Danio rerio: one gene and its partner. The protein of the gene in region 1 interacts with the protein of each later gene in a pairwise test. Links are inferred from orthologs where the notes say so. Each region holds a gene or a part of one and is shown on either strand. Other genes may lie near its edges.

Region 1 (3,830 bases):
TTAAAATTGATCAATTATATGCATTGTTTCAAGCGTTAAGGGTATGTTACAGCAAGAACGTAAACAAGGATGTAACAACAGGAAATGCTGTTTGGCATTATTAACTATTCAGCTACAAATTCATATTTTTCCATCAAACCGCTGTAAACACCCACAATTTTCAGCAGCGCTGCAGTGTCTTTCTATGCGGTGCTTTCCCTGCGTTCTACATCTGAATATGTGTGAAAGACACTTGTCAGATCTTACTTTAGAGAGCAGGTGTGAGGTTCAGCTGTCTTCTCTGTGTCATTTTCTGACTGATTCAGGCACAAACTGATGGACAGTATTTACACAGCTGAGGCAAAGTGCGTGCTTGTAGAGGTGTGACGCTTTTCCTGTTGACGTGGAGCCGATACACGAATCACAGCACATTATATTAGCTGACCAATCAGAGCCTCTTGAGGGCGGCCCTTTTGGAGGAGCTAGGAAATATGACAGTTGTTTTCATTTTAGCTGAGTAGCTGTATATAATCAAATTAAGATATATGAAAAAGTAACGTGATTTTCTACAAATGAAGCATGAGCACACATTGCTTTGCATTTTTATAAATGCATCCAAGCCTTAAAAATACACTCTGGACCACCTCTTTAATAGAGATATTGGAACTTTAACACAAACTGAATGCTAAACTGAGTGAGTATAGCCTAAAACAACAAACAAAAAGCAGCTCCAAAAATATCCATCATTTACAGCTTTTAAATCCTTTAACAAACTGCAATCAATGTTTCTATTGTTTATGTGGCAGTAATTCTGCAAATGGTGGCATGTGTGCCACAGGTTTATAAACCCTGCGCTACAGAATTCTTTTGAAATCAAATGTTTATTTAAATATTAGTTTGAAGTAAAATGATATTCAATGTTGCAGTTACAGCTTTAGGTACGTTACCTACACTAATGAAATGAAGCGTATGCAGATCACTTTAGAAATGAAAAATATGTCGTAAGACTAAAATAAAATTCTACACTCAGTTAAATTTTTTGACATTAATGTCAACATTTTAGCAGCAAGATTTAAATCATAATCTACAATCTTTATTTAGTTAGCAAGCTTATTGAAAGCAGTAAAACAAAAACTGGACCTACCCCCCAATTTAAAACATCTAAGGTCACTTTGGTTTGTTTTATGATTTTTTTTTTAAGTGTTAACCAGACCCTCCAGGATTTTGTGATTCCAAAATCTCTGCAAACCTAAAATCAAGCAAATGCCAAAGTTTTGAGAGTTTGAAGTTTGAGAATTCCAGCCATGCCAGAGCGTCATCTGCTTAGTCATTCAAAACAAACTAGGTCACGTGAGTTATATCACTCACTAAACTTTTACATATTATGTATATATGCATCCTGTTGTCATAGGAGTAGCCCTCCTCTCTCTCTCTCTCTTACACACACACAATGTTAAATGGGTGTAGGTGGGGAACTCAGTCAGTCTGTATTTTTAGGGGGTAATATTTCCTCTGTCAGTTTTTTGGCAGATAGCTACACAAACTCTTTTGTTTTCCATCTTTTTCTAGGCTACATCCCTAGCGCTGGGATTCCCCTTCAGAAACAGCTGGAACATGCTAACCAGCAGTCCGGCTTCACAGACTCTGTAAGTGGAGATGGTCAGGAAGTGCATTTCTTTCAAACTACGTCAACTCAGTGGAGGGATTCAGCTGTGTTTGTGTAATTAAATTAAAGCATGATTCCCATTGATGTTTTCAGAGTCCCCTGAGGCCCATGCACCCACAGGCTCTTCATGTCAGCGCTGCGAGTTTGCTGTCCACTCCTCCTATTGCTGTGCAGATTCCTCCTGGCAAGGTCAGAGCCACAACCACCGCATGAAATCTGTATTGCCACAGTCTTGATTTTGCAGCATTGGAGATATTAGGCTTTGCTGTACTATAATTGTTTTAATGTAAAGATGATTAAAATGGATGCTTTGTATTGCTTTTGTGGCCTGTTCAACATTTAAAAAAACCTTTGCTCTGTTCTTTTTTATAGTCTGGCATATCTTATACACATTCGCAAAGGCCAGCATCTCCAGGTGCATTTTCCCATGGAACGCCCTCACAGCAAGCACATGCAGTAAGTTTCTTTATACTATATCTTGTATTTATGTATATTTATACACTACTGTTTATAGAATAAGTGAGGTATTTTGATTCAGCAAGGTCACAGCAAATGGTTAAAGAAATAATTTATTACTATTTTAAAAAAAGGTTCCATTTTAAAACTTAAATGTAATGAATAAAACTATTCCTATTCTGTTTAAACAGAATTTTAAGTATGCATTACTCCAGTTCTTGTTGTTTTTTTATGTTTCGATATACATATACCTCTCTTTTATTTACTTTTTTTTTTACTTTGCCCATTGTCTCTACACCTTGAAAATATTACCAACCTCACAAGTTTGAATGATAGTATGTATGATATCTGACTGAGAAAGTCTAAATGTATAGTTTTTTTTTAATGAACCAATAATTGCTGGAAGAATTTAGTATTCCAGTGATGTACAGAGCTGTGCAAAAGTTTTAGGCCACTAGTATTTCCACAAAAAAGGTTTAAAATCTACCTGAAAAACTATGGGCAAATGTTTTAAATGCAAAGTTTTGTCATGCTTTAGTAATTAAGTTAATTGATAAAATGTACTTATGCATTATTTTTTGAAAGCATCCTCATTTTACAGTATTTTCACACACATGTACTGTTTGTGAAAATCTTAGAGCAACTTAGAGATCTTGCCAAAGTTCTTCTGAACTCAGTTTCTCTTAGTTTGTTCTGTTTCTCTGGAAGCCATTTAAGACAGACTGGATAATGATCAGATCAGATCTCTGTGTGGAGCACTGACTCTTAGCAGACTCCTTGTGTAGTCAATATTCTCCATGTGTAAATACAATTCATGAAAACAATAATATTTGGAAATGGAAATTGATTTTTCAAACTGACAAAAATATAGAAACAAATGACTTCTAGTATTTTTACAAAAAAAAAAAAAAAAAAGTTTAACGTCAGTTATTTCTATATTTTTGTCAGTTTGAAAAATCTATTTCCATTTCCAAGTGGAAATAATGCATATACTTGAGACAACCACATTTTAAAGGTGGACGCATTAATATATTTTAGTAAATTAACCAAATTAACATTTGGTATGACAAAACTTTGCATTTAAAACACTTGATACACTTGCCCATAGTTTTTCAGGTAGCTTTATATTTCAAACTGACATGCGACAGAAAAATAAAGAAATAACCAACTTTAAACCTTTTTTTTTTTTTTGGTGAAAATACTAGTGGCCTAACACTTTTGCACAGCACTGTATGTATGTATGTATAAAGAAAGTGCAGTGCTTCCCACACAAACTTTACTTGAGCGGCTGCCCAGGTATAACTAGTGACACATATTTTTTTTACTATTATTATGATCTTTTTATACGTTTTTTTTTTTTTTTTTTTGTATCTGCGCAACATAACCAAACATCTGCGATCAATTAAGTACTGGAAAATCTTCTTCACTTGCGTGAACTGTCAACACTCCCACAGACAGTCTCACGTGCTCTGCAGACCCATAAAGACGCACCTTTTTGGCACTTAAATTCGTCTAAATCTCCTAAAATGTCCAGGATTCATCTTTTGATTTGGCTTTTGAAAACTTGTATGCCTTTTTGCATTAACTTCTAACTTAAGCCTACTTTCGCTTGGCTTGTCGTGAGAGAAACATTAAATAATTTATTTTTAAAAGTCTAAGCGACTCAGAAAAACTTTCCTATAGACTCAAAGAGGATGAAATGACTGCTCTAATCTGGCTGCAAAATATA
Region 2 (3,830 bases), on another chromosome or scaffold:
AAGACATTGAGGTGACATTGCTGTTTTTGTGTTTAGTTATTCAAAGAGTACATTAGTACATTTCAGATGCAAAAACCTCTAAATACTGTCTTAATTTTCTCCTAAAATGGATTTTTTTTTCAAGCTCCTGTGTATGTTCAGTAAAGTCAGTTATATGGCAAATAATATGTTCTTTACGTTGCATTTAAAGTGCAACAACTGAACACAAACATAGGATCCTGAGTTAAATGTCATTTTAGAAGTTTTCAGACGGCATTTTTTTTGCATCTGAACTCTTCATTTGTTTTAATATTTTCTTTTTATTCAGTTCATAATTTTTTTAATTTATAAATGATTGAAATGTCTTTTTATTATCAACAAAAAAATCATTTTATGCATTTTAGTGCTTTGTGTATAGTCACCCAGATTATTATTATTTTTTGTTTTATCACATATTGATGTTAAAAATCTTATCTAAATTATAAGTAGTATCTGTTTGTGGTTTTTAATTATATTTATTAATGAAATGTTTTTGCGATGAAAATAGTGGTTGTTGCTGACATGGAATTAAACAAAAATGTATGATACAATATAAATATAAACATGTTAATGTATAAATAAGTTTTTTTTTCTTCCAGTTGATAGGCAAAGGAATGCTTCTCATTATATGATGGAAACGAAACGTGTTATTCAATAATATGAATAATAATGAACATGCAGTGATGCATCTCAAACAAACACATTGCATGTTTTTATTTAGATTATATACATGCGCTACAGATGAATTGGGTAAACTAAATTGGCCGTAGTGTATGCGTGTGAATGAGTGTATGTGGATGTTTGCCAGTACTGGGTTGCAGCTGGAAGGGCATCCGCTGTGTAAAACATATGCTGGATAAGTTGATGGTTCATTCTGCTGTGGTCGACTCCTGATAAATAAAGAGACTAAGGGTGCTTTCACACCTGTGAATCGATTCAGTTGTTCCGAAACAGAGATTACAAATGTTACATTGTTGCTCTTTGCTCTTGGAGCGGTTCGCTTTTAAACTGCAAAGTTTCTAATCGGACCAAAATAGCTAAAACAAGTCACGTGTGAGTAAACTCTTCTCACATTGGTCAGAGTGTCAGGGTTTATTTTGCAGCGTCCCGCTCAGCTGTCAGGAGAGGTGGTGGTTTGGTGGTGATTGACAGGGTGTGTGCGCGATGTGTCTGAGGAGAGACGGGGTGGGGAGGGGTGAGAAGGGTGCGTGACGATGCCTATTTGAGGACCGGGAGGGAGACGCGAGATTACCGGGAGATCATCACTCGTTTGCGGGTATCCGGAGACTCGCGAAACTTCCCGCCATACTCATAATTCTCTCTTCATATGGCCGTAAGCCTATTACATATCCATAAAACACTGTGATATAACCGCGCTCGGATCGGATCGCTTTCTCACTGTAATCGAACCGATCCAGGGTTCGTTTCAATCGAGCAGAGACCACCTCATTCAAGCGATCTCGGGGCGATTACTTTGGCGCGGAACAGAGCTCGATTACCCTGTTCACAAACGAACCGCGCTAACTGGGCAAACGAGACACGTTCCGAAACAAAAGTGTAGGTGTGAAAGCACCCTAAGCCAAAGGAAAATGAACGAATGAATGAATGAATGAATGAATGAAAATTACTTTTTGTTTCCAGGTTTGACTGCAAATAAGTTGCCTAAAACATAGTCATAATTAAATTGGATTTGTTTATTCATCAGCCTACTCTGCTTATGCATGAACCCAAACAGTGGAAATGTTAAATCCCATTTAGCTGAGTTTCCTTTCTTTCTGTGTATTGAATACTTCCACTGTTTTCCAGAGAGTGCCTTGCAGACCTTGAGAGAAAAAGGCCAAGCGCTGCTTGACCAGATGTCCAACCAGACATCTTTTTCCTACGGCAAGGAAGTAGGGGTTGAGAACAAGGAGAATATCGACCACATTCACAGCGTCATGGAGGACATGCAGCTCCGCAAACAGAGGTTCCTATTACATTTTTACCATCATGAATATGATGCTTACTCAAAGAACAAAAAACAAAGTGGCTGAGATGTTAACCTGTGTTTTCCAGGTGTGAGGATATGGTTGATGTCAGGAGACTGAAGATGCTGCAGATGGTTCAGCTCTTCAAGTGTGAGGAAGATGCTTCACAGGTCAGACAATGACATTCATGTGGACTAGGGCTGCACTATATCGGGAAAAATAGTTTTATTTAAATTTATTTTAAAAAAATCACTTTTCTGCAATAATATATTTTTTGTTAAAAACAGTTTTAATAGATTTCTCATGCTGTGTTCACACCAGACGCGGAACGCATGGATAAATCACGATATTGAATTTACTCGTTTCATTCTCGCGTCAAACCCCGCTTCATTCACACGTGAAATTTGCTTCATTCGCGTGAAGGGCAGGGCTTCTGTCTGCCCGGTGACTGTAGCTTCGTTGCTAAAAGGCTAACATGGATTTTATGAACAAAATAACATTGTTCATGTACTTTATGAAGGCTGAAAAACACCGTCGATACGTTTAGGACCGTGTCTTAGTCCACTACATGCTTTCAGAGGTGCATCCAGCTGTGTGAGCTCATAAACTCCTCCAGAAACTGAACCTGGATCACGGAGGCTTTAACCGGTGCTTCTGACTGAGCCAAGCCCAGTTTGATGACTTGTTGTCGGTGTCGCCTGGAGGATTTCCCCCGGGAAACCATCAACAAGTTCTACGTCACAATCACGCCCCCACAAAAGCAAGCTTCTGATTGGTTAACGCGGCGTGACTGTCCACTGAAGTTCAGATTTTCGAACTCGAGAAATTCACGCGTTAAGCGTGTCAAACGCGCAAAATGCTCAATTCGCCCCGTGCCATTCGTGCATATCGCTCTATTCGCACCACGCCATTCGCGCAATTTGCGTAATTCGTGCCATGCCATTCACACGTATCGCGCCACAGGATGTCTATTCGCGCATTTGCAATAACTTAACATGTAAATCACTTGCGCTTGACGCGAGTTCTGCGTCTGGTGTGAAAGCAGCATTACACCTTTTTTTAAAGAATTTATACTTTTAGGTTGATTAGGATTATTCTGCATAATACATAATAATTAAATTACAGGACGATGCAAAAGAGCAAAGATGCAACTGAAATGAAGAGTGCTTTTCTGTTTTTCTGAGAAGTAGAAGAGTAGTGCTTTTAAAAAATGCTATGCAAGTGATAAATGTTTACTACATTATGGATGAACTTTGCAATGACAAACTATTGTACCTGATCAACTAGAATCACAACTGGTCATTGCATATTCTCTGACTATTGTGGATGTCTACATTGGGGTATTTATGCAGATGTTTTTTTGCAGCCCTAATGTGAACAGACTCACTGAGGTGTCTCTGTAGTTTCTGTAAGTGGTGTTTGGTGTTTTCATAGGCAGTAGAGTGGTTGGGAGAGTTGCTCGATGCTTTGTTGAAGACCCACATCCGACTGGGAGATGATTCACAAGAAACCAAAGTGCTGCTGGAGAAACACAAGAAGTTTGTGGATGTTGCACAGGTATTGGATGCTCAATTATACTGAATGTTAATTGAAACACAGAGTAATATTAAAACAGAATAGACTGAATAAATTCCTGACTAAAATGTAATAAATTCATTCTTGTTGTTTTGTGAAGCATGGGTAGGCCCCACTGTCCACAGACTTTTAGCCCGTAATTAAGTCTATGTATTTACTTGTAAATGTGTTTACATTTATATTTATTTCGTTTTTAAATTCATTTCACTAATATTATTTTGATATTATCTAAATAATAATATTAAAGTGTACATATGATTTATGTACAAT

The links.
Region 2: the proteins of gps2 (region 1) and sestd1 interact in binary tests that used the Homo sapiens proteins (3 or more experiments, as listed by UniProt). The two-hybrid records come from large-scale screens. The link is inferred for Danio rerio from reciprocal best matches to the Homo sapiens genes GPS2 and SESTD1.

Annotation. Positions count from the first base shown.
Region 1 is NC_133180.1:24,725,806-24,729,635, forward strand, and holds part of gps2 (G protein pathway suppressor 2), read left to right. Parts: intron 1-1,548; coding exon 1,549-1,625; intron 1,626-1,738; coding exon 1,739-1,834; intron 1,835-2,017; coding exon 2,018-2,101; intron 2,102-3,830. UniProt on the Homo sapiens protein: Key regulator of inflammation, lipid metabolism and mitochondrion homeostasis that acts by inhibiting the activity of the ubiquitin-conjugating enzyme UBE2N/Ubc13, thereby inhibiting 'Lys-63'-linked ubiquitination.
Region 2 is NC_133184.1:44,888,571-44,892,400, reverse strand, and holds part of sestd1 (SEC14 domain and spectrin repeat-containing protein 1), read left to right. Parts: intron 1-1,776; exon of another isoform or gene 1,777-1,824; coding exon 1,825-1,984; intron 1,985-2,073; coding exon 2,074-2,155; intron 2,156-3,419; coding exon 3,420-3,542; intron 3,543-3,830. UniProt on the Homo sapiens protein: May act as the primary docking protein directing membrane turnover and assembly of the transient receptor potential channels TRPC4 and TRPC5.